Linked DNA regions of Arabidopsis thaliana. The protein of the gene in region 2 interacts with the protein of the main gene of each other region in a pairwise test. Each region holds a gene or a part of one and is shown on either strand. Other genes may lie near its edges.

Evidence for each region.
Region 1: the proteins of TAF12 (region 2) and EER4 interact in a two-hybrid assay, tested with the Arabidopsis thaliana proteins (one study listed by BioGRID).
Region 3: the proteins of TAF12 (region 2) and TAF4 interact in a two-hybrid assay, tested with the Arabidopsis thaliana proteins (one study listed by BioGRID).

What each region holds. Positions count from the first base shown.
Region 1 is NC_003070.9:5,982,282-5,990,132, forward strand, and holds EER4 (Transcription initiation factor TFIID subunit A), read right to left. Parts: upstream 5,654-7,851; 5' UTR 5,383-5,653; coding exon 4,594-5,382; intron 4,379-4,593; coding exon 4,166-4,378; intron 3,688-4,165; coding exon 3,073-3,687; intron 2,985-3,072; coding exon 2,910-2,984; intron 2,814-2,909; coding exon 2,735-2,813; intron 2,636-2,734; coding exon 2,574-2,635; intron 2,435-2,573; coding exon 2,399-2,434; intron 2,309-2,398; coding exon 2,126-2,308; 3' UTR 2,072-2,125; exon of another isoform or gene 1,973-2,071; 3' UTR 1,703-1,972; downstream 1-1,702. Other genes in the region: AT1G17430 (alpha/beta-Hydrolases superfamily protein), read left to right, coding at 29-754, 874-966, 1,272-1,339, 1,527-1,638; AT1G17450 (B-block binding subunit of TFIIIC), read right to left, coding at 6,298-6,483, 6,631-6,669, 6,762-7,226, 7,384-7,442, 7,538-7,851.
Region 2 is NC_003074.8:3,102,222-3,109,084, forward strand, and holds TAF12 (TBP-associated factor 12), read right to left. Parts: upstream 4,606-6,863; 5' UTR 4,578-4,605; coding exon 4,002-4,577; intron 3,910-4,001; coding exon 3,751-3,909; intron 3,631-3,750; coding exon 3,133-3,630; intron 2,773-3,132; coding exon 2,698-2,772; intron 2,599-2,697; coding exon 2,520-2,598; intron 2,420-2,519; coding exon 2,355-2,419; intron 2,263-2,354; coding exon 2,227-2,262; intron 2,106-2,226; coding exon 1,974-2,105; 3' UTR 1,659-1,973; downstream 1-1,658. Other genes in the region: AT3G10060 (FKBP-like peptidyl-prolyl cis-trans isomerase family protein), read left to right, coding at 70-139, 250-390, 481-536, 613-668, 794-851, 947-1,021, 1,101-1,190, 1,273-1,350 and 2 more; AT3G10080 (RmlC-like cupins superfamily protein), read right to left, coding at 5,255-6,151; AT3G10090 (Nucleic acid-binding, OB-fold-like protein), read right to left, coding at 6,739-6,863.
Region 3 is NC_003076.8:17,314,230-17,323,753, forward strand, and holds TAF4 (TBP-associated factor 4), read right to left. Parts: upstream 6,957-9,524; 5' UTR 6,916-6,956; coding exon 6,877-6,915; intron 6,777-6,876; coding exon 6,671-6,776; intron 5,901-6,670; coding exon 5,386-5,900; intron 5,301-5,385; coding exon 5,208-5,300; intron 4,339-5,207; coding exon 4,293-4,338; intron 4,154-4,292; coding exon 3,519-4,153; intron 3,270-3,518; coding exon 3,145-3,269; intron 2,980-3,144; coding exon 2,892-2,979; intron 2,806-2,891; coding exon 2,670-2,805; intron 2,578-2,669; coding exon 2,522-2,577; intron 2,441-2,521; coding exon 2,384-2,440; intron 2,307-2,383; coding exon 2,166-2,306; intron 2,087-2,165; coding exon 2,018-2,086; intron 1,936-2,017; coding exon 1,713-1,935; coding exon of another isoform or gene 1,645-1,712; exon of another isoform or gene 1,609-1,644; coding exon 1,379-1,608; 3' UTR 1,232-1,378; downstream 1-1,231. Other genes in the region: AT5G43120 (ARM-repeat/Tetratricopeptide repeat (TPR)-like protein), read left to right, coding at 1-95, 192-274; AT5G43140 (Peroxisomal membrane 22 kDa (Mpv17/PMP22) family protein), read left to right, coding at 7,341-7,670, 8,350-8,578, 8,700-8,824, 8,915-8,995.

The DNA.
Region 1 (7,851 bases), on a different chromosome or scaffold from region 2:
AAACAAAAGATTTCCACTTTTCTTAAAAATGGCGTCCATGAAACACGTTCATCTTTTCCGTCGTTATCTCTCAATCGTTTTCACTCTCTTTCAACGCTTAATTTCATGTTTCTTCGATTTTCCGATACTGATCAAAATCGCAGATTCGTTCTTATCTCTGTATTTCTTAGTTTTCTGCGATCTCCGACCCGTAACCGTCGATCTAGACGACGGAGAAACCACAGTCCATTTCTGGATCTCCGGCCACCGTAGAATCTCTCGGCAGAATCTCGTCATGCTCCATGGATACGGAGGAAACTCCAAATGGCAATTCGTTCATCAAGTCTCGGATCTCTCGAAATCGTTTAATCTCTTCATCCCCGATTTGGTCTTCTTCGGAAAATCGTATTCGAAGAATAGAGATCGGAGCGTTGAGATTCAGGCGAGGAGCGTCGTCGGAGGATTGAAGAAACTGGGATGCGTTGAAGGAGGAGGAGGAATATCGATTTATTCGATTAGTTACGGTGGATTTGTGGCGTATAAAATGGCGGAGATTTGGCCGGCGATGGTTGAGAAATTGGTGATTGTGAGTAGTGGAGTGGGATTTACACAGCAGCAGAAGACGGCAGAATTGAAAAAACACGGCGGAGATTGTTCGAAGATTTTAGTTCCGAAAACTCCGATGGATCTACGGTTGCTGATTAAGATATCTATGAATACTGGTTTAACGTTCGTCGATTGGGTTCCAGACTTTTTCCTTTCCCAATTCATCGCTGTAAGTTTGTTCTGTTTCTGTTTTATCTGTTTATTTCCGAATCTGGTCCCGTAAATTGTTTGTTCGTTAGTCATGATCCTAAAGGTTTGGAATTTGCAAAATTCATCCTCTTCTTATAGGTAATGTATGAGAAAAATCGGCAGGAGCTTCTTGAGCTAGCTAAGAATTTGTTGGAACGAGAGGAGGAACCAGAATTGCCTGTAATATCCCAGGTAGTATAAAATTTCGTTGAGTTAACCTTTTTTTAATTCCTGATCACTAATGGTTTAACTCTAAGCATCAAGATATATATTAATAAGTTGGCGTGATGATTAATGTGTCGCTGATAGAGAACTAATTGATGTTTTGGATTGTTTTTATGGGTTTTAAGTATTCATCTTTTGGATAGTGGAAACACTATTCTCGTTTGTTTGCTTTCACTTTTATATTATTTCTAGAGGGATGCTATGGATTGAGATGCTTTATTCGAATCTACGAATAAAATATGACTCTGATTAATTTGATATATATGATGCAGAAAACGTTAATCGTTTGGGGAGACAAGGACAAGGTGTTTCCCTTGGAGCATGCTTATCGGCTGCAAAGGTAAATACTACATTGATATTTTATGGTAATAAGTCCCATAACAAGTGTTGTCATAATAACTACATCCGTATAAAATATTTAATATTTCTACTAGGTCAAAAGAGATGAAACATCGAACGTGAACGCATGTGATTATTGATCGTGAATCCAATATGTCGAAACTAATAAAAATTATATACTTTTGCAGGCATTTACAGAGTTCAAGATTAGAGATAATAAAGGAAACAGGACACGCTGTTAACATTGAAGCACCAACTACTCTTAATAATTTTATTACTTCGTTTGTCTTAAGTGCTTGATTTCTATTTTTGTATATACTTCTTCTTCATATAAATATCTATATGCATTTGATTTAAGTGTATATATAGTTGACATCATTTAACATATCATCAACTGCTGAGTCATCAAAGAGCTAAAACTTTCAAGCTTAAAATGGAGAGGACAACTAAAATTACAAAAGGAAAAAACAAAAACCCACTAAAAAAGAAGACGAAATAGTTAGAAAGTCCCACAACTACGAAAAAAATAACTGTATTATTTGATTGCCTATAAGACTCATGAATTTTATATATAATACATACAGTTTCACTACTTGTGCCTTCAACTCTCCATAGATGTGTAAACTCCTGCAACCTATAATAGGAAAAGTTGAGGACTATATATAGCCAGCCATAAATACCCGAGGTTTTCTTATTTATGTAAGTGGTGTTTGTGTATGATAAAAGTGTTTACCAAGAAGATGAACATAGCAGTGAGAGCTGGCTCAGGCTTCTATATTCAAGTCCTTTAGTATCGTGTCATGTGTTGTAATATGTGAGGACCGGATGTCTGCGAAACCAATTGTTCTGAACTTTGGGAGGGTCTTAAGAGATGATTCGGACCATTTGGGTTCACCATCGCTTGTCTCATAGTTTCCTTGGAATTGCTTGCATTCGTCTCTGGTTTTGAGGATTCTAGTAATGCACGCACCTGGCGACACAACACAAAAAAGAAACTTCAGAGAGAGGTCCATAAGCACGACTGTACACAAAGAGATGTTTGGAATATCATTCAGCTTACCATTGCAAGTCGCTTCTTGTGGAGATCAGTTGGTACCTGCAAGTTGTTAACTTGGGATCAATATCTAGCAAACTCATGTTCTTTCTCTTTTTCTTTTATTGGACATTCAGGTGGTGATGCACATTCACATATACTTTTTGTGCTTTTAAAGAGTTTTAAAAAGAAAATCACTTACAGTTTTTGTTTGACGTTTATCCTCACTTGAGAATCCAGGAATTGTCAAGTGCAAGTTTTTCTCTGCAAAAAATTATAACTCAGCAAACAGTAAAATGAGTAACAATAGCAACTACTTAGAATTCACATTGAACAGAGCTCATCACCAAATTAAGTACAGACCTAGGTGGAGTAATATATCCTTGGGCTCCAATACAGATGATTTACGATGCTTAGCCAAGCTACATGCAAAAGATGTGACCTGCAATGAAGTTTAGGTAAGATAGAGATAGGTTTTCACAAATCTGTAAATAAAAAAGCTGAAGTTAATACTAAATAATTGATATTAGCTTCTAACCGAATCAATGAAGTCATCTGCCACCTCCAAAAGGAGGTCTTCAACATCAGGATCCAGTTTCGCATGTACATCCACCTGAACATCATGATACAATAGAATGAAACATATTTCTAAAGGAAGAAGAAGATAGAAACAAGCTATAGAGTTGAAGAGGGAAAATCACCTGCGAAACCAGATCCTGTATCTTCCTTTTACCAAGGAGTTGGTTTGTTGCTTCTGTTCCCTGGCTTGAGCTACCACCTGGTGTTGTTGTACCCGATTGTGTAGCCTCTGGTTGTGAACCCGTTAAACTGACAGATTTTTGTCCTGCATGACTCAACATCCTTGGAGATGGCTGTTGTTGATTAATCTGCATTTGCTGTTGTTGTTGCTGCTGCTGCTGCATCTGCTGTTGTGGTTGCTGCTGTAGTTGCTGCTGCATCTGTTGTAGTTGTTGTTGGGAATGGGATTGGTTCATCTGCGACTGGCCTAATTGTGATTGTTGCTGCTGCTGTTGTATTATCTGTGATATCTGCTGCTGATTCAAGGACATAGAAGATTGATGTAACTGAGGAGAGGACAGTTGTTGTTGTTGCTGCTGCTGCTGCTGTAAGAGAAGAGCCTGTCTTTGACTCGGTTGGAGTCGGAATGAATTGGGGCTCGTTATTCCCGACATTTGCTTCAGCCATTGCTGCTGTGACAAAGAGTTTTGCATCATGCCAGCTTGTCCATTCTGGGCCAAACCCGATAGCTGAGGATTCATAAATGCGAGAGAAGATGTTCTCTGGAGGTTCTGGACCTACACAGGGGATTACAAAAAGTTACCAAGTGAAGAGGATACAGGATACATGAGATTCGACGCAACTCTATTTTTTAACTTGAAACGAAAGAAACACATGCTCACAAAATGATCAGGAATTTGCATATTGCACAACATAAATGTATTAGTACCTCTATAGATACATAGGCCAGATTTTACAATTACACGGTAAATCTGTCAAATTTAAGGATCATTCCCGCGTCATTCAGGTATTTTAGTTGCCAATTACAGATATTGGAAAAACTCTGCAAGTCAATATTAAGTGATTGATTAAAGTACCAAAACCTCATGGATCAGTTTAATTAAGACTGTGCAACAATAAGTCAAAAGAAGTGAAAGGATCCAACACGAGAATTCATTTGTATCTATGAGCCATAAGATATAACAAGTAGTCAATAAAAAAGTTCACAATGTGAGAGAAAGAAGTTCGTAAGATACGACTTTTTAAAACTCATACCTGAGGTGAAGTAAGAGCGTTTTGCTGTGACAATTGCTGTCTCATCTGCCCCGGGTTGATTCTCTGCTGCGCATAGAGAGCAGGGTTACCTCTCATTTGCGAGGTCAAATTCAGTGATCCCATCATTCCCATAGCTTGCATCCCTTGTAACTGTTGTCCAGAACTTCCCGGATGAAACTGCGAACCTTGAACCATGCCAGATTTCTGCCTCGGCTACAACGGAAAAGCTCATTTGTCTCAGAATAAAGAAAATGATTTGTTGTTCACACAATAATAGAAGAAACTGCAGAGTTTACTATATTCATATCAACAAAAACAATTGCAACACTATCTCCATCTAAAGCAATACTACAAGTTGAGACTCCATCCACAAAAAGAAAGATATGAATCAACAAAGGGAAAGAGAGTAAAAGTAAAGAATGGGGTACCGAAGCAGCCAATAATTGGGGTTGAATATTCATCTGAGCAGCTCCAGCAGCACCGTTAAGCATAGGCAAGTGACCGCTTTGGCCAACTAAACCTGCTCTGGACATATTAGGGTTAACCATCTGCTGATTCTGCTGGCTCTGTTGAACTGAACCTGAGCCACCAAAGTTCATGGTTCCGTACAAACCAGCTTGCTGTCTCAACACGTTGCCGTATTGACCTTGATGCTGCTGCTGCTGTTGTTGCTGAATTTGGCTCAGGCGAGAAAGAGAAGGGGATCGCTGAAGAGATTGAGCAATTTGGTAACTCGACATTGGGATTTGCTGTGAAGTCATGTGTTGTTGCTGCAGAATCTGTTGCTGTTGCGGCGATAATTGTGGAATCGGAGATGAAGAGATTTGCTGCATAATCTGTTGTTGTTGTTGAGGCAATTGCTGAGTTTGTTGAACGAGTTGCTGAGTCTGTGTTTGCTGATCTAAAGATGAAGAAGGGTGAGAGAGAGGAGAAGGCGACGGGATCTGAGCTCCGATTGGTGGGTTAGAAGAAGTAGGGTTGGGAGAGGAGATGTTAGGTTGCGAATTGTTCTGAATTACAATACCTTCGGTGGTAGTTACAGTCATCGCCGGAGACGCAGCGGAATTAACAGAATTGGAAATCGGAGCTGTCATGAGTTGTTGTTGTTGAGATGATGATGAAGGTAAAGGAGTAGAAGATGCAGGAGAAGGTTCCATAGGATTAGGAGATTGTAGAGATTTCGGTGACAGAGACGATGAGGGAATCGGTTCCGCCATTAGAAGAAACCCAGCTGTGAAGAAGAAGAAGAAGAAGAAGAAGAAGAAGGTGTATTATTTGGTTGAGAGGGGTTTTGTCGATTTTCTCTCATGAAATCGTGTTTTATTTTTTTCCCAGAAGTTTATTGACCGATAAAATATGGTCTTCTATTTTTTTTGTTTTGTTTGTTGAATCAGTTCTGGGGAAAAAAGAATCTGAGCCGTACACGTCAGTAGATTTAGCGGAAGATGATCGAAAAGATACTTGTACTGAACTGTGTTTCATTATTCCAGACTCTCGCACAACTGCTCTAACACTTTTTGTAGGATTATCTCATAGACCAATGCAATCAATATTTTACATTTTTTTCTCTTCACCATTTATTACATCAAATACGTCAACAAAAAGTCAAACTGTTTCGTTACTCAGGTGATGAAACTAGTGTGCACTATTTTCACGTTTTTGGTGTTTCAGAATTATGTTTTTAAATTTATTCAGCACAATGTTTTTTCTGCCTCTTGATTCTGTATGATTCAAACCTTTATTGATTAACTAAGTAAACTACACTAACTAGATGGAAACAACATCCTGTTGATCATTTAATTCATTCTTATTTGGAGATTTTTCCGTCTACAAATTAAATAGAAATCTTTATTTAGTTATAACTTGTAACTTGTAGGAGACCTTTTAGTTGAATAAAAAATAAGCTCTCTTTTTAACTGAATAAAACCTTCCAAAACTCACCTATAATAGGGATATGAATCCAACACTATGAATCTATAAAGAGAATTAATCATCACACCTACAGCTATACAAATACAAGATCTTGTGGACTTTAAATCACAAAACTATAATAATTTCCCACATAAACATTAATAATTTATTGCATCGAGTTTTGGACTGAACTAGAGAGACTGAGAGAGATTTTACAGACATTACAAGGCAAAGAGTCCCTTGGAGTTTGCAAACAAGTGTTTGCGGCGAATAAGTTCCGGTTTTCTAGGACCTGTTGAGACGAGACCGGCTAACAGAGACGGAGGACCGGTGAATTTGGTTTGCACCATTTCCCTCACTTTCATATAGCCGTCGAGTGTCATCAACTCCAGAAGCTTTCTACAGCTCTGATATTGAAATTTTTTTACAGAATGTTATCAGAGAGCAACCACCGTATATAGAGACAACAGACAAAGAGCTTTAAGAAGTTTTGATCAGTTTCAGTAAATGAAACCATAGGAGAAGAGGTTTTTAGGGTTTATGATTGTTATTACCTGAGGATTTAGTATGTCCATTAGGTTTATTATCTCGTCCTGCCACAAATGAATGTTTCGATTAGTATTTTCATAGAGTTCGAAACCATGATGGCAAAAACTTATTGGGTGGAAAATGGAGAAGTATTTACCTCTGGTATACCGGGATTTTGCATCACGGTACCAAGAACACGGCGAACTAGTCCATCAAAGACAATTTTATTTATTGACCCATCTGCGTTTACCCATGGATATATAGGCACAGGTGACTTTTCAGAAGTTGATTCCTTTGTTTCACCTTCAATACCCGTTCCAAAAGTAACAGATGGAGCTTTGATAGATGCTTCATGCAAACCGCTCGTTTGAGCCGTTTCAGGAAGGTTAAGAATTGTAACCTTGTGAACGCTATTCCCAGCGACATGCTCTCGCATGTCCTGTGAAGTACTGTAGCTGCTAGCAATGATATCTTTGGACCTATGTTCCCCAACAGCTCTCTCTAGGTAGTTCACTGGTAGAGACTGTTGACTTTTTTGGGAAGTTCCATCTTCCTCCAATGTCAAGAAGTACTTTGATCGGTAGAAGGAATGGACAACACGGAAATTATTATAGCCATTTACCTGAATAAGATATTGTATGGTTAACAAGTTGCTTGTAAAACGATGTAACATGAACTGAGTTCACAATCCAGGTAAGTAAAACTAGTAAACCAAGCACTGCAACTTTCATCTTAATAAAGGCAACAGGGTTTGTAAAATAAGAGATAATCAGACAAACCTTCAAAGCTACCCCAAATGTTTGAAGTACATCTACAATGCAGTCACAAGTTTCTTGGCCTGATGAATACACAAAGGTTAAATAAAAACACTGAAGGAAGTCGCCAGCACATGCAAAAATAAAAGCCTGTTAAAAAGGTTTGCCTGATGCTTACTTGGGATATCAATAAGACTGTGGACTTCTTCAATGCTCAGACCTTGGTCACCAGCCTTCTGAAGGGCATTGGAAACGGTTTCAAAAACCCTGGGACTGAATAAACTAACTTCCTCATCTGTTGATTCGGACATAATGCTACTAGTAAAACTGGCCATCGCTTGCCAGGGAGAATCACCTAGACTGCTTGGTATGACAGTAGAATCTGTAGAGTTGAAAAGTTCTTTCATGTCATCAGAATCACAGCCACTATTCGCTTCTCCCCACTTCAAATGAAATTCACCAGTGCGAGAGTCATCATCCTTAAACAACTCT
Region 2 (6,863 bases):
ACAAGAACTAGTCAGTTTCTTTGTTTTAGACAACAAGAATCTGTGAACTAACACAAAAACATTGAAAGAATGATCTTAACAATGAAACTTGTTCACCCTCTCCATCACTCTTTGTCTTCCTCCATTCCCTTTCCCTCAAGTACACACATCTGTTATCTCTCTCTGTCAATTACTTGTATGTTTTGAACCAATATCGAGACATCGATTAAGCAAAAATTGTTTTTTTTTTGGATTTGTTATAATTTGCAGGAAAAAGGCAATCCAAACCGTACCGGTGCTCGTTACCTTCTCCCGGCTGCGAAAAGGTCATCAGAACAGAGACTGTCCTGCCTCCGGCGCCGGTGAGTTGTGAAGGGAGAAGGGTCTTACTTGGATGTCTTCTCGCTACAGGTTAGATCATTCTCTATTAGTTCTTCACATCTCCACTTAAGCTCAGTGTATCAAAATCCTTAGAAAATGTTGTTATCTGATTCAAAACAGCTTCTGGGATTTTGTCAACTGGTTCAGCCGAGGCAGTAAGCACCAGTAGAAGAGCTGTAAGCAATATATATATCTATGCATACATTGTGTTCTTGACTCAAAACTCAATCTCTTACATACAATTCTCTGCAGCTACGTGCATCCAAGTTACCGGAAAGCGATTTCACGACTCTCCCCAATGGTCTCAAGTCCGTAATCCAATGCATCATCTTTTGTTTGAATTCGATACAGTACTCATACCGCAAAACAGGATTGAAAAATCAAGTCTTTCTCGCAATAATCACAAGTTTGGTTTCTGTTTATATTGTGGCAGGTACTATGATATAAAGGTTGGCAATGGAGCAGAGGCTGTGAAAGGATCTCGGGTCGCAGTACGGTTGTGAATACGTTTCCTGGTTTACTTTGGACATGTAAATGCTAACAGTTTTAACAAGCGTTGATGCTTAACCCAAATGTTGTGTCGCAGGTTCACTATGTTGCAAAATGGAAAGGGATAACGTTCATGACAAGTCGACAAGGACTTGGTGTTGGAGGTGGAACGGTATAAGGCAATCTTACAGAGTCCATTACTGTACTTGAATATGCAAGGATCCTTTACTGATAATAATGAATTTTTGCAGCCTTATGGGTTTGACGTTGGTCAATCAGAGAGAGGCAATGTTCTGAAAGGACTTGATCTTGGTGTTGAAGGGATGCGTGTAGGCGGTCAGGTTAGTTTTTGAAACCGAAAGGCTTCACAAAGTCAGGCCACTCAAAGTCTTGTTTTGATGACCCTATGAGGTTTATATACAGAGATTGGTGATTGTTCCTCCCGAGCTGGCTTACGGGAAGAAAGGAGTGCAAGAGATTCCTCCAAACGCTACGATAGAGGTAACCAAGTTGAATGGATTGAAATTTTTGTTGGCTTCTAAAGTGGTGTTCATTTATGTTATCTTTCTTTTGCAGCTTGACATTGAGCTGTTATCAATCAAGCAGAGTCCTTTCGGGTATGTGAAATCAATCAACTAATACACTGGGTAAATTTGATCGAAAAAAGTGCCCTGAAAGCTTTCTTTTCGGTTTTATTCTGCAGGACGCCAGTGAAGATAGTTGAAGGCTAAAAGGACTAATGAAGCCAACATTGTACCAAGATTTTCTGTGTACATTCAGTAAAAAACTATAAAATTGATCAAAGCTATGGAAGATTCAACTGTATGAGAAGAATCTGTTTAATGGATTATACCGGCTAGTCCGGTTTTGTAACCGCTTTATAACTGTGTCTCATCACTCAATTCATACACTTTTGGCCGTTTTGCAAAACATTGAATCAATTCAATCCCATGAGGTGGTAAGATACTTTACTAATGGTTAAAATTAAGATCTAGCCTAGCCTCCATGCCTGTAGTTATCTTGGACTGTGAGATCTAGATAGGGTACAAAATGGGTGATACAAATTTCGTACCTTTTTAATGGAAAATTCCTACCAAACACGATTGGAGGGTTGATCTAATACATCAGTGATTGAAAGTTGTAGAGCCCATGGGATTAGAAGGTGTCTTTGCCTGACCGCCTCTTGCATTAGCAGTCCCATGCCCAAACTGATTCCTGGCGTTTGCTGCTTCTGTTGCCGTGACCGACTTCTTTATCTTCAAAATCCACAATGTATATACAAAATCAACAAGAAAATCTTCAATATATAAGTTTCTCTTCTACTCAGAACCATAATCTATACTATTAGGATGTTTAAAATCATGTGTTAAAACTTACAGCCGCAAGTCGCTCTTTGTGAATATCTGTTGTCAACTGCAAAACATTATCCAAGGAAACAACCAAAGATGTTAGGAACTATTTTGTAAATAAGACGAATTGATAAAATGCAGATCTCTAATTCTTACTGGCTTCCGAAATGTCTTGAACTCATCACTGCTAAAACCAGGAGGCCTAATATTCCAGTTTCTTTCTACATTTAAGGAGAAGATACCAAAAAGAAATTACTCATTGTAATTGGAATGAGAAATTGAAAGAAAACGGGCAGGTAGATAATATTGATCAGAACGAACCAACATGGAGCAAGATGTCCTTAGCCTCTAGAATATCTGACTTTCTATGCTTGGCTAAAGAACAGCCAAAAGTTGTGATCTGGGTTAAAGGAAACACAACGAGCAGGAGTTAGAAAAAAAAAACTCATCACAGGACAGAAATGTTTGACTCTTAACCAATGCGGTGTGGGCTACTTACTGACTCCACAAAATCTTCAGCAATATCAGAAAGGATGTCTTCAACCTCTGGATCCAATTTCTCTGACGGGTCAATCTGTGGATAGACAAGGCATTTTAAATTTAGAGAAAAAAATCAATGGATATCATGCAGAGAGTTCAGTGTTGAACACCATCAAAGTAGCCCCTAAAACTATCGATATATGTTATTACTGAATCTGTCAATAGTCATCATACATGCTTTTTGGCTTTCTATGGGAGGTATTATTAGCAAATAACTCAATATCTCTTCTATTTTATTTTTATCAAATACATTCCCCTTTATCTGTAAGAGATCTATCCAAGTAGAAGAAATCAATCACACATTAAGTAAGAATCAAGCGTGAGAATGAGAATACTGGTCAATATGCAAAATGGCTACCCAAAGTTGAGAATATGAAGAGAGGTCAGTGGATACCTGTTGAAGTAGCTCATGGATGCTTCGTTTCCCCAGGATACGATCATCAGACGGCTCGGTCTCTGCAGAAACTGTTTTAGCATGGTTTCCTGGTTGAGCCACAGGAGGCTGGCTCGGCATTACCGGAGAAGTAACTTTCTGATTTACCAAACCTTGGACCCGGGTTGGTTGATGTGGGTGAGCTAAAGGCTGCTGCGGAGATCTCAATTGTTGAAGTTGCTCTTGAGGCTGATGTTGTTGTTGAGATTGTTGTTGCTGAGGCTGTGGAGTTGCTGCTGACGTAGAAATATGTTGCTGAGGAATATGAGGTCTTTGTTGCATAGAGGGAGAATTTACTTGTGGTCTATACGAAGGAGGTGGCAAAGGCGGCTTCCCTTGGGGAGTAGATGATAACCAAGGTTGATTGATAGCTTGCAAGCTTTGTTGTGATGCACCAGTAGATTGGACATTAGGAGAGCTAATAGGTGAAGGTCTCATAAGGCTATGTCCTTGAAAGTTCTGCCAAAAGTAAAATATAAGGAATTAAAGTGTGCAAACAAAGTTGTTGTTAACAAAGGAGTCACAAAGCTGGAGTTCCTATGTCAAGATACAGAGGCCAGAAGGGTAAAAAATACATACTTGAGCAACAGGAGATTGGGTACTTGTGGAGGAAGCTGGCCTTAGAGACGATTGAGTTGGTCTCTGTTGGTGCTGAGTCATCCCACTCGGCCTTATTTGGGAACCTGAGCCAAGTGTTCCCATCATCCCAATTCCCTGAGTTCCTTGCATCATTCTAACCTGAACACACACATACAGAAAAAAGTTGGTATTTTTTTTGTAACAGAGCACAATTCTTTGAAATGTGGCACATATGAGAGAACAAAATCCACCTGAGGGGAACTTGTATTGGACGTAGCTTCTGACATTCCAACAGTTCCACGACCTAATCCGCCGTATTGTTGCCCAAAAGAGCCGGGAAAAGCAGAAGGCGAATGTTGAGAAGGTGTAGGAGAAGGACTCGGAATTGGGGAAGCCGGAACGCCAATCGCCATACCACCTCTTTGTTGCCCACTAATAGGTAAAGACGAAGACGAAGAGGCTGGCGCTGATGAGGAAGATAACAATGGCGACGAAGCGGAGGAGAAGTGAGTGTAAGAGGAGTGTTGTTGCCATGGTCTAGAGTACGCCTGCGGAGGCGGCCGTACTAAAGGCTGGGAGAGATGTTGCTGCTGTTGCGTCGCCGGAGATGTCACCGGACGCGTGTATTGAGGAGGATTAGGGTTTGGATTGAGCGATGGTGATTGTGGAGCTGGGGAAGAGGGAATAGAGGAAACAACGGAGGAGGGACTCGGATTTGTGGAAGGCGTTGGTTGAATCTGTGTTAAAGTCGATGGTTTCGAATCCGACGGCTGAGGAGGTGTTTCCGGTGGCTGAGACGCCGTCGAGCTTTGCCGTGGCTGATCCATGAAAAGGTTGTGAATGTGGAGGGAATAGAGATATTGATTGAGTATATAGAAATCTAATTAAACCGAAATTGTCGGTACGGTATTAAACAAGTGAACCGAAACTGCAAAGCTCGATAATTATTAATACCGGACCGGCTTTAACAATTCCTTTTCTCTGTTGTGTGATTAAAACGATGAGTTTAACCCCAAAGAATAAATGAGAGTTAAAACGCAGCGTTTCATTATGCTCAGATAGCAAGTTTCTTCTATTGCTGGAAATGTAGCTTCCAAGTTAACTAGTGTCAAAGTCTCTGGTCTTTTTCTCACATACTCAAGAGTACACAGCGATCAAATTAGCTAGTGTCACGACAAATTGGAGATTTGTTTGCAGCCTTTAGAGCCTTATAGCAAAGAAGAACTGGCATTGATTTTGATATATTTTGTGGATTGGAGAAGATATTGTCAAATTTTCAAAGCTTGTGACGTTGCCAAAATTATGTAGGTTTAGTGATAATAATTCAGGATTCTAAATGTGAAGTGTGGATAAGTGATAATAATTCATGTAGAAAGAAACATTGTCTAGCTAAAGATGACCATTGTTTGGGTCAAAATATATAAATAACATTATGATCAAGAACTACCATCACATAAAAGATAACTTCGATGTAATAATCTCGATAAGACTTTAAGAGAAAACATCAATGTTCATTAGACATGACAGGATCAAATCTTTTCTTCAACGTACCAATCTGCTTAAGACTCAACCCAAAAGCTTTCATAAGCAACTCCTCATTGATCCCTGACCCAAAAACCACGGACGGTATCTTCTGAATACCAGGGTTTTGGCTATTAAGTCCGCCGACAATCGTGGCCGTAACATCTCCGACGTTCATCTGAAAATGTACAAGCCCTTTTGGGTAAACCATCATTTCTCCTTCTTCCATCACTTTAGCGTAAACCTTATTGTTCGAGTCCACAAAACCAGAGTAAACCCGTCCTTTAACCAAGTGGGCTACTTCCGTCGCCCGCGGATGGTAATGTGGTGGGTTAATGGATCCGGGTTTGAGATCAGCCCGGACAAACGAGATGCCTAATGTATTAAGGCCGGGGAAGTTTTCTGGGCCTACTGGGACGGTGGCGAACCCCGTCTCCGTGAAGTTTCCGGCAGTTTTTAGACCGGAAAAGACAAAATCTTCGGTGGTTACTTCGGAGGAGTTTTTGCAAGGGAGATTGGTGGAGAAGTGATGGTCATGGTAAGGAGATGTCACAGGTTTTGGTATGCAGAAGTCTTGGATGGGATCAGGGTCGGAAGCTAATGTGAAGCATACATTAAAACAAAGAAGACAAAGAGCTTTTAGAAGAAACAAAGTGTTTGCTTCCATTTTACTTGAGGTCCATGTGAAGAAGAGTTGTGTTACATCCGGTTTAAATAAGCATATGTATATCTGGTGGGGGTAAATGAGAGACTGGTTAAGATGGTTACTTTTTATCAACCAAAATTTCGTCTGTGAAATTAAGGTGTGGGTTTTTGTACCAAATGAAAAACCACGTTTGGATATGTGGTTTTGGTTATGGGAGTGGTTAGGCCGGTACATTGACTGATAAACCCCTTTTGTGGCTTGATTGACACATCTCTTATGAATTTACTATTCGTCTATGTAATTCATAGTTACAAATTAATACAATTGTGCATAAAAATGGAAATATAACTGGAGTCCAAGGTTTCGGATCCTAGTGTCAATCCCGGTTTATAATGTAATTTTGGTATAGGCATAACCAAATCTATGTCTTGGGCTGAAGCAGGGGCCCGTATAAGGCGTGCTGTGTGCGCATGCCATGATATTCAAAATGATGAATTTGTTGCTTAAGCTTTTTGTTATCTCCAAGGCATGATTAGAGAGGCACATGAACATCATTTTTTCGGTGGTAAAGGTTTAGGCAGAGTGTGAAACATGACTTATTTCTTTGATATAACAAAGTGAAGATATTAGTTCAAAAAAAAAAAAAAAAAAAAAAAAAAACAAAGTGAAGATAAAGAAATGATTTTTAATATATTATAGATTTAGAGTCTAAAGCATCAATCTTTGATAATTAAATTTTTTAACATCATAATAAGAATTTAATTATCCAAACGATATAACATTTGTTCTTCAAAGCAACCAAAAACAATTTGCAAAGAGAATCAACGAAGTCTTCTAGCTTCTCTCTCGGACTCCAGCAAGGTGAGAATATCTCCCTCTCTGACAGGTCCTTTAACGTTCCTCATGATGTAACGGTCCGAGTCAGTGAACTTCACTCTAACCTGAG
Region 3 (9,524 bases), on a different chromosome or scaffold from region 2:
GATAAGCAAACAGATGGAGGCTACGTGGCTGTTTGAAAAGGCTAGAGCATCAAAGCTTGGAAGAATGATGCTCAAGGAGAAATTTCACTTAACAGGTATATTCATTTTCTTATATATATGTATGAATATAAGTTCTTGAATCTTTTCTAGATAAAACAATTTCATATTACATTGTTTATCTCTCTGGCAAGGTTTGTCGACGATCACAGAAGAACCCGAGAAGAAGAAGGAAGGATTGATGATGCAAAGGAAGAATCTTGATCCCTTGGAGTGATCAATATCTATGAAGCGATTTTAATTATTCTATCTCATTAGTTTTTTCTTTTCGTTTTCTATTAGAATGTTTGGTACTTTTGTGATGGATTAGTATCGATTTGTCAAAGAGTTTAAGTGTTGTACTAATCACTATGTACTAGTACTACTAGAATTCTTATTTATATCGTTCTTTAGTTTATAAAATGGTTGCATTAAGATTGTATTTACTCATCCACATATTTACTAAAAACAAACCCTAGTAATTTAAAGACAATTTTCTCCAATGTTGTTCTTTTTTTTTATATTCTTTACGACTTCATCTACCAAAATCATAACCATAAGCATAGTATTATTATTATTTTCTTAATTGTTTTCCATCTAATATTAGTATGAAACTTTTCCTTATTGAGTTTTCTTCTAGTCTATCCTTAGAATTTGAAGTGTATTGTCTATATATAGATAAGATCGAATCCTTAAATATTATGAAAAAGTTACACGATGAAACACTAAAAACATAATTGAAATTCGTGTTTTCAGTATATTTATGGGTTCTTAGTAGTTACAACGTTGTTTTCTTGGCATTGAATAGAGTGAAAACGAGTATTTTATGCGAAGTAGTAAATGGGATAGAGGTGCGAGTCACAGAAGGTGGGGAGGACCACAAAACCACAATTAAGTTCCGCGTGATCTTTACTCATTCTTTTACTTGAATAATATGGTTTAGTGTAGACAAATTTCTCGAGTTTGCGTGTATTATTTGGACTAAACACAATATTTTTATCATCTATTTACAAGAAATATCAATAAGAGTAATGAAGTTATAGCAACCATATTAATAATTTGTGATTATTTATTTGATGGGTCCAGTCGCTAACTAGACGGTGTGATACATACTGTATATGATTTAACAAAGAGTACTTTTGTCTTTCAATTTTGCATTGGATGCAAAGTATTGAGATATGAGTCACTAGAAGATGTGTTGTAAATTGACGTTTGAGTTGAAATGGCCATGAAAAAACAATGAACATAACAGAAACAAATCACAATGGTATAAAAATAAATGACTTGGGGCCTTGACGATTAAATTATCATCAGAAGCTTATAAATATAATGATTCTTCTTTCTATTGAATTAATCGATACATCAGAGTGGATTTGGACATCTGTGGCTCTCTTTCGAGGACCGCAACCACATCCTTCACAGAGATTGTCCTCACCACTTTCGGTTGAAGCGACGAACCTTGGTTTTTCCCTACTCTTCGACCACCTGCAAACAAGAATCCAAAGCTCATCATCGCAAACCAAAACCGTGAGGAACTAACTCGATAGACAATCCCCACACCACAGCTAGATTCTTAGCATTTCCTAACACTAGCAGCATTTCATGCTTTCAAGGAGGGTTTATCGGTTTGTTCATCGGCTTTGCTAGGGGAAACAAGTTAAAAAGGATGGACTCACCAGTACCAGAAAACCGTCGTCCACCATCTTGTCTATCTTTGGAGTTCTTTCCTCCACCTGAAGTAGTTTTCTGATTCCCATCTTTACCAGCTTCAGATACAGATTTCTGACGAGCTTCAGCCATTAATTGCCATTTTAAGAACGCATCATCTCCTCCGACAGCAGCACGAGCAGCAACATTTGCAGCTGTCGTTCTCATTTTGTCGTCATCCTCTTTATTTCCCTTCACATGTCGAAACCACTTTTGTAAGAACACTGCAACGGTATTATTAATTTCCACAAATGTATTATTAATTTCTCCATACCTTCACACCCTTTGAACGATTATCTTCTTTATCCTTCTCACTGTCAACTCCACCATCACCTTCTTCACTCTGCAGCAAAAAGATGAAATTTGCAATGTCTGTGTGTTGTAGTAAACATAAGAACATAGATAATGAGCTCAGAACAGACCTCACTCGGTTTCTTAAGCTTTTCTGCTTCAGCCTGTTTCTTCTCCCATTCTTCCTTCACCTTCTGATTCATTTCGTTGATTTGTAGCCGAATATCTGATGTGATAAAAGTCCGGTGCCTAGATTTCTCAGCATCAACCCGCTGAAGAAGCATTTTTAGCTTCAGACAGAATTTATCAAACAATGTTGAACCAGGTAGTAAGAGAAAGTTAGACTGACCTGCTTTGACAACCGAATTATATGGGATAATAGTCCTCGCATCCTTTCCTCCACACACTGAAAGCAAATACATGAGAAAAGGGGAAAAAGAAGCTCAAGTATTGTATGCAAACAATGCACACGAAGTTGACATCTCACCAAAGATAAGCACCGTTCGACATCATTGCTTATCTGCTTTAACCCGGCTTTAGCCACTGCCAGATAAGAAAAGCATATGTAAGCTTCGTCTCCAAGTGATTCAATAACTAGAAATTAAAATAGAAGAAGATATGGGAAGTATCCCAACTAATTTCCGCCAGCTTTCTTTGCAGAGGATTCTTCTGCAAGATTAATCTTTCTTCTTCTTCGTGCACAACTCTCCGAGATGCTTCGGAAACACGACCATCTTCCTTGGCCCCAGAAAATAATTGTTCTTCCTCTTCCTAAATCAAATGCAGACAAAAAATGATTTACTTCAGTAATCTACATCCAGATTAAAATTGAAAACTGAAGCTACCAGGAAACGCACCCTGAGATTAACACCACTGACTGCAGTGACATCATTGAGCTGTTCAATACTTTGATCCATAGAATTCCCTGCTACTTTTTGCTTCTTGCTGCAAGTTGATCCATGCAAAACGATTATGATTTTATATTACTTGGGGACTCGAAAAGAAAAGTGGTTTACACTTAAAAATCCATACATCAGAAGTCTATTATTAACGAAGAAAGAGTGACTTAAAAAACTGTTCCCTGTTTCTAAGCCTGAGCAGATCAATTACCTTGGTGGTGGAGGTGAAGAACCTAATGTCTCAAGAGGTTTTTTCTGACCAACAGAAGGCTTTTTGGGTGGCATCCTAGCATTAGCTCCTCCTTGAGAGGTTCCCAATGGGCCACGAGAATTCATCTGATGGATACACAAACAATGTTAATGATGTCCAATTGAAACTTTTCCTATTTACTGTTTATAGTAGAAATTATAAAACCCAAAACAAGGAAAAACAATAGATGTCCAGGTTGTCGGACATAACACGGAAAATATGCAAGGGCTTTTGAAGCGCCATAGTTGCCCCAGCAGCTCAAAGAGAAGAGGCAAACAAGAACAGTGGAGACTGACTTTTATAATGAGAAAACTATATATTAATAGATCTCTTACAGTTGTGCTGGCGTCTAGTTGAGTTGTCATGGAAGGAGAAACAGAGCTTGCAGGCGCCATGTTGTTAGGCGTGGATAAAACCATTCTAGAGGACTCCTTCTCTAAGTCCTCATTCGAAGTCATTGAGGCTGCATTATTCTTTTCAAAACTTTGATCAACTGATTCCTGCTTTACGTGGGACACTGATGATCCTTGACCAGGTGCAGAATTTAGAGGCAATGATGAGCTGTTCTGGAAGTGCGATGTAGCGCCACCCTGAACCCTACTCGGATCATTTACAGAACTTGGCCTCTCAAACTTGGGCATAGTCATCATGTTTGTGGTAGACTGGGGCGGTCCTCCAAGACCAGTTGATCCCATAGGCTGGTTATGTGCCACATGTCTCATATGGGAATCATGAAGGTGAGGTCTCAACGTGGAACCAGAAGCATTGGTGTTTGGACCCGGGAATGAATGAAAACTACCAGAAGTGGTATACATAGGAAAAGAACTTGGTGGATGCTGCATCTGGTGCTGCGGATGTTTGGTAAGTCCCTGTACCGGAACTGAACTGCCTAAGGTGCCTGAAGCTGAGGACGGTAGTTGGTTAAGATGGACTGCACGAGGATCAGACTGAGATTTTTGATTATTGATTTCTGCGAATGAATAGATTTAATCAGGTAAGATATTGGCTCCTGCATGGAAGTAATAAGATATATCTATGGAGAGTATAGAAGCTTTTATGATAATGGTGAAAGAAAAATAAAAAAGAATGCATTAGTGAATAATTTATACCAGTAGAAGGAGCTTGAATTCCAATTTTTCCCTGGTTATAGTTCACCTGAAAACAATGAGCACAAATTACAAATAAATAAGAATCTATACCCAATTTCAAATGCTTCAACGGTTAGCACAATTTTAGTTGGAATTAAGAACCCAGTTCAAAAAGCAAAACCTTCATTAAAATAGTAGAAAACAGAACAAAGAGAATAACTTTGGTTCCCTCGGACAAAGATAAAGAGCTTCAACCTTATATATAGGAAAAGATAACTCCCAAACGAAAAAGGGAAAGAAAATAGAAATTCTAATTAGAATTGGACTAAACTTTTCGTATCTTATTATAATTATAATGGGAAATAAGATTAAATCGTATCAGTTGGTGTACTTGAACTAGTCCTACTCTGCAGACATTGACCACAAACGCTGGACGTATAAATTTAGCACCGTTTTAACATGTAAATGTGGGACAAACGCAAGTCAGTAAACTCATATGATTAGATCATCCCAGGCATAAGTCTGATAACCTTTGGAAAGGAATAATAATCTGCTAAGATTGGTATTCTGTAAGAAAGTAAATCTCGACTTTTTGGTAGTGATCAAAATAGAGGAAAATAAAGAGTTTTTCCCTAATTCAATATGTTGTATCTAATTTATGAAGCTAAAATATATATTCTAAACATCATTTGACTTATCAACAGTTCTACTTCATGTCAGACCATTCTATGTGCATTCAAGCTAATAAAAAACAATAGTCTTTTGATCCAGCTAAATTCAAAGAGCAAATGTAAAAAAAGAGTAAAAATGTAAAGCACTAGCAAGCAGAACTTTTAGACAAACAATTCCAACATGATTCCACTTACAAACTAATACCCTAGGTTGGTTGTCTGGTTTTAGTCACAACATGGCACAATATATGCAAAATGGTAATACCTGCTGGAGTTTACTAACTGCCATCCTGAGCATCTGATCGCCCACAATATCTTTCATATGTCGTGTGAACCCCTCTTTGGGGATTTCATTTTTCTGCAAAAAAAAGTAGCAGAAGGAAAGAAATGATAATACAATAGCTTTGGAACAGAATGTCAAATGATTTCACAGATAGACATACCTTAAGTCTAGCATATAGGGTACGGAGCTGCAGTGCTCTATCTTTATCGAGTTGGTTCATTAAAGTAGGAAGCAAAGCAGCAAATGGTACTTGCTTAGGGTTGCGGTTTATAGGGTTAACATTCATAGGGTTAACAGGCGGTTCCACTCCCCGAGCCTGTTGACTACTCATCTTTTGCAGTTTCATATACTGAGATTCACTCTCTTGATTATGGGATCTATCTGATTCATTACCAGTAGGATTCTTTTCACTAATCGGTAACCCAGTTGATTGGGGGACCTGCGAGGGATTCTCCCAGAGTTGACCAGCTCGATGAAGGTCTTGAGGCTGGTTGTGTTGTAAATGAGGTTCATTTGCGCGTTTCAAATCATGTTGATGTTGATTTTCTAAAGTCGATCCTTCTTGCTCCTTCATCTGAGTACTTTCAAGGCTATGCTGAGTCTGGACATTGATATTAGAATCTCCAATACCATTCTTCCATGTCGAAAACTGCTGCCTGGAAGAATGGTTGTTTCCTATAAAAATAATAGAAGCAATTGGTTGATGATACTCAAATCACAAGTTAAACTGGAGGAAAAATCATATAATACCCAAAAAAGGACAAAAGACAGGATTTTGTTGTAGCAGATTATGCACACAAAATGCATACTCAGTAGCTCTCATACACCTATCCACAAATCACAACCTATTTGTATTTCAATATTTAATGGTGTAGTCAGAGGAAAGAGATCACTTCCAGCACCAGAGACAGAAAATAATGATTTAAGGAGACACGTAATCATCGTCAAGATTGCAGTGAACCAAGAACAAAGCCTAACACTAAAATAGTATCAGCATCACCAACCTATGTCTACCCTGGCTAATAAATCCCATCACACTGATCAATTTTAATGACTCAACAATCAACTAGTACAGGCTATATTGGCAATGACAAAGCTTATCCCGATATTAACATACAGAAACCCTAACAAACTAATATTTCATGACCTTAACTATTGCTTTAATACAGGACTGAAACTTCCAAACATGTCACTAGATTAGCAAGGTTTACAATATAGCCTAACCAAGGCATCTTCTTAAGTTATCCATGTTCCAAGAGTAATAACCTATCTGAGAAAACTGTATATATTAAAAACAAGCACAACTTTGCTAACATGTCAAAGCTTCCCAAAGCAGCCAATCCAAGATAAAACCAAAAGATACTATCTTTATATTAACTAATAGTACCACAAAAATTAAAATCTCAGACATAAAATTTAAGAGCGAATTTGTAGAGAAACCAAACCTGGGTTTGTCACGTGGGGTATTGAAGTTGTCATAGAACCTTCAATATCACGATTCAGAGCAGCTTGGAACGCGTCTACGTCAGCTCCTGAATGCATCGATTCATCCTAAAATAATACAATTCGACCGGAATCAAAAACCACGAAGACGATTCCAGATACATCACACAAAATTGGATTTTGAAACGAGTGAGATTAGAAACCTAACCTCATCTTCTTCAAGGAGCTTGAAAATTGAAGGATCCATTGAAATAGCTGGGGAAGGCAAAGAGAGAAAGAGAGCTCTCGGCGTAGATGAATTAATAGGAAACAGATGTTATAAGATTAGTCCTAAACTAACCTCATGTCGTTTATTAGCTTTGTTTTAGCACTGTATGTCGTTTTTAATTTTGATCGAAAAAAAACGATACCGTTTGTTATGGATGAGTAACCTCATGTTGTTTATTGGTGTTCTTTTAAAAACTGCATGACGTTTAATGGAATACGAAAAACGCTGTCGTTTGCTTTATTGCGTGGAGAGATATATCAAACTTTATGTCGTTTATTGGTTTTGGTTAAGCACTGTTTGTTGTTTGCGTGTATTGAGACTAAAAGTTCTGGTACAGAGAGAGAGATACATCAAAAGTACAGTGTAAGCTGCCGCCATTAACGAAGCATCGGCGAAAAAAGAAGATGAATATCGTTGGATTGAGCAAACGTTTCTTCTCCGATCGTCGCTCTCTTCACGGGATCAACAATGCTCTCTTGAAAACAGTGTTCACCGGTCGGAAACCGATTCTCGGATTCTCCGGCCGATCGATTCACGAGCTACGCAAAACTGGGAATTTCGTAATCCCTCGTGTTTTCTCCGTGTCGCGAAATCTAACGACGAAGGCTTCGTCTTCTTCTTCGAAACAACCTGCGTTTCTACGATGGTATTTGAGAAAGCTCGAATCACATCCTTTTATGACTAAGAGTATCACTACTTCTGTCATCTATATGGCTGCAGATCTCACTTCTCAGGTTTTTTTTTGAATCTTTGTAGTTTTTGGAATTTAGGGTTCTTTCTCATTTCATTACTAATTAGAGAATTTTGTTAAAGTTTTGAATTTTATCTCTTGATTTAGGAAGAAAAGACTAATCTTCATTTGTTATTATACCAAGACAATTCCAAATTTGATTTGAAACTAGATCATAATCTTACTAGTGGAAGAAGTTATAATACTTTAGTAAAGAATAGGTGGAGATAGCACTAAAAGTTGGTGTTTTTTAATGAATTGTTATTCTCATATTTTTGGTTTAGTCTGTGTTCTCAACTGTTGTTCTTTGATGTGTGAGACTGTACTTACAGTGTTTACTGAATCTGTATATTGTACTCTTGTGAATTTGAAGTCTTTCTGTACTGAATAATGGATGAATTTAGTATTGGTTTGATTACTCAGAAAACTCACACTCCAATCCGAATAGTCTAATCTTCTTGTTATTATCTCTTGTGAATACTTATTGCTAAGGTGAAAAAAGCTTTAGGTGTGTGTGTTGGGGTTCTTGTAAACTCTGTTTTTCTTCTTGTCATTAGTGGATTTCTCTTTTGAGTCTTTTTATGATCATGTTGTGGTGCTCTTCCCCCAGTAATATGTTAGAGCGAAACTAGAGAACCTTTTGTTTTGTTTTATTTGTGTTGACTCTCTAAATTCTTCAACAGATGATCACAATGGAGCCAACTGGTTCTTTTGACTTGATAAGAACAGCGAGAATGGCGAGCTTTGGGTTGATATTTCTCGGGCCGTCTCAGCATCTGTGGTTCAGTTATCTTTCGAAGATATTGCCAAAGCGCGACGTGTTGACAACCTTTAAGAAAATAATGATGGGGCAGGTTCTTTTCGGACCTGTTAGCAACACAGTCTTCTATTCCTACAATGCTGCTTTACAAGGTACATAACATAATCAAACCTCTATGGATTGAACGGATTTAGCTTTTTACGGTTTCTCTGCCTGTAAATTTATGGTGCTCATTATGAGATTGGTTCTGGCACGTTGTTGGTCCTTTTTAAGGCGAAAATTCTGAGGAAATTGTGGCGAGATTGAAGAGAGATCTTCTGCCAACATTGAAAAATGGACTTATGTATTGGCCGGTCTGTGATTTTGTTACATTCAAGTATGTGCCAGTTCATCTACAGGTAAACCAAATATCTATCTTATTACTTTCTCTATTGTTTGGGATGTTTGAAGACACTTCTTAACTTCAACTTGTAATCTTCTGGTTGCAGCCACTGATGAATAGCTCGTGCGCATATATATGGACAATCTATTTGACATATATGGCAAACCAGACGAAAGCTGACAGCTGAACAATGACAAGTATGAGTGTTCTGGGTCACACGCAATCGCATTCTTTTTATTCAATTGAACCAACCATCAGTACTAGTAGATTTTTTTTGTTTTTTTGGTGTCTACAATGCAGCAAAAGTATCGCATAGATATGGACATAAACATGTATGAATTTTGATCATCTAAGCATATATTTATCAGGAAGTCTCAAAGTTCCATCGCGTTTTACTGCGAAAACTTGCTTCACCATCTTCTTTTACTTTTTGTTACTTTCTTGTAACATTTTGACTAAAAAAATAATTTGGTTTATTTTTGTTTATTTAAATTAATGCCAAAAATAAATTAGGGTAGGTAAAACTAGTATGAGGTTAACCACATAATTCACAAATGAAACCAAACTTAGGCCACGTTTTAGGTCATATTGCCTCCTTGAATCATATAACATCATTCTTCCATTGTCACATTGTGGCCAAAATAAAACACTATTTATCGTCCTAAGTATATATAATTGCCCTTACACTTTTGTCCTACTATACTTTTAAGAAAATA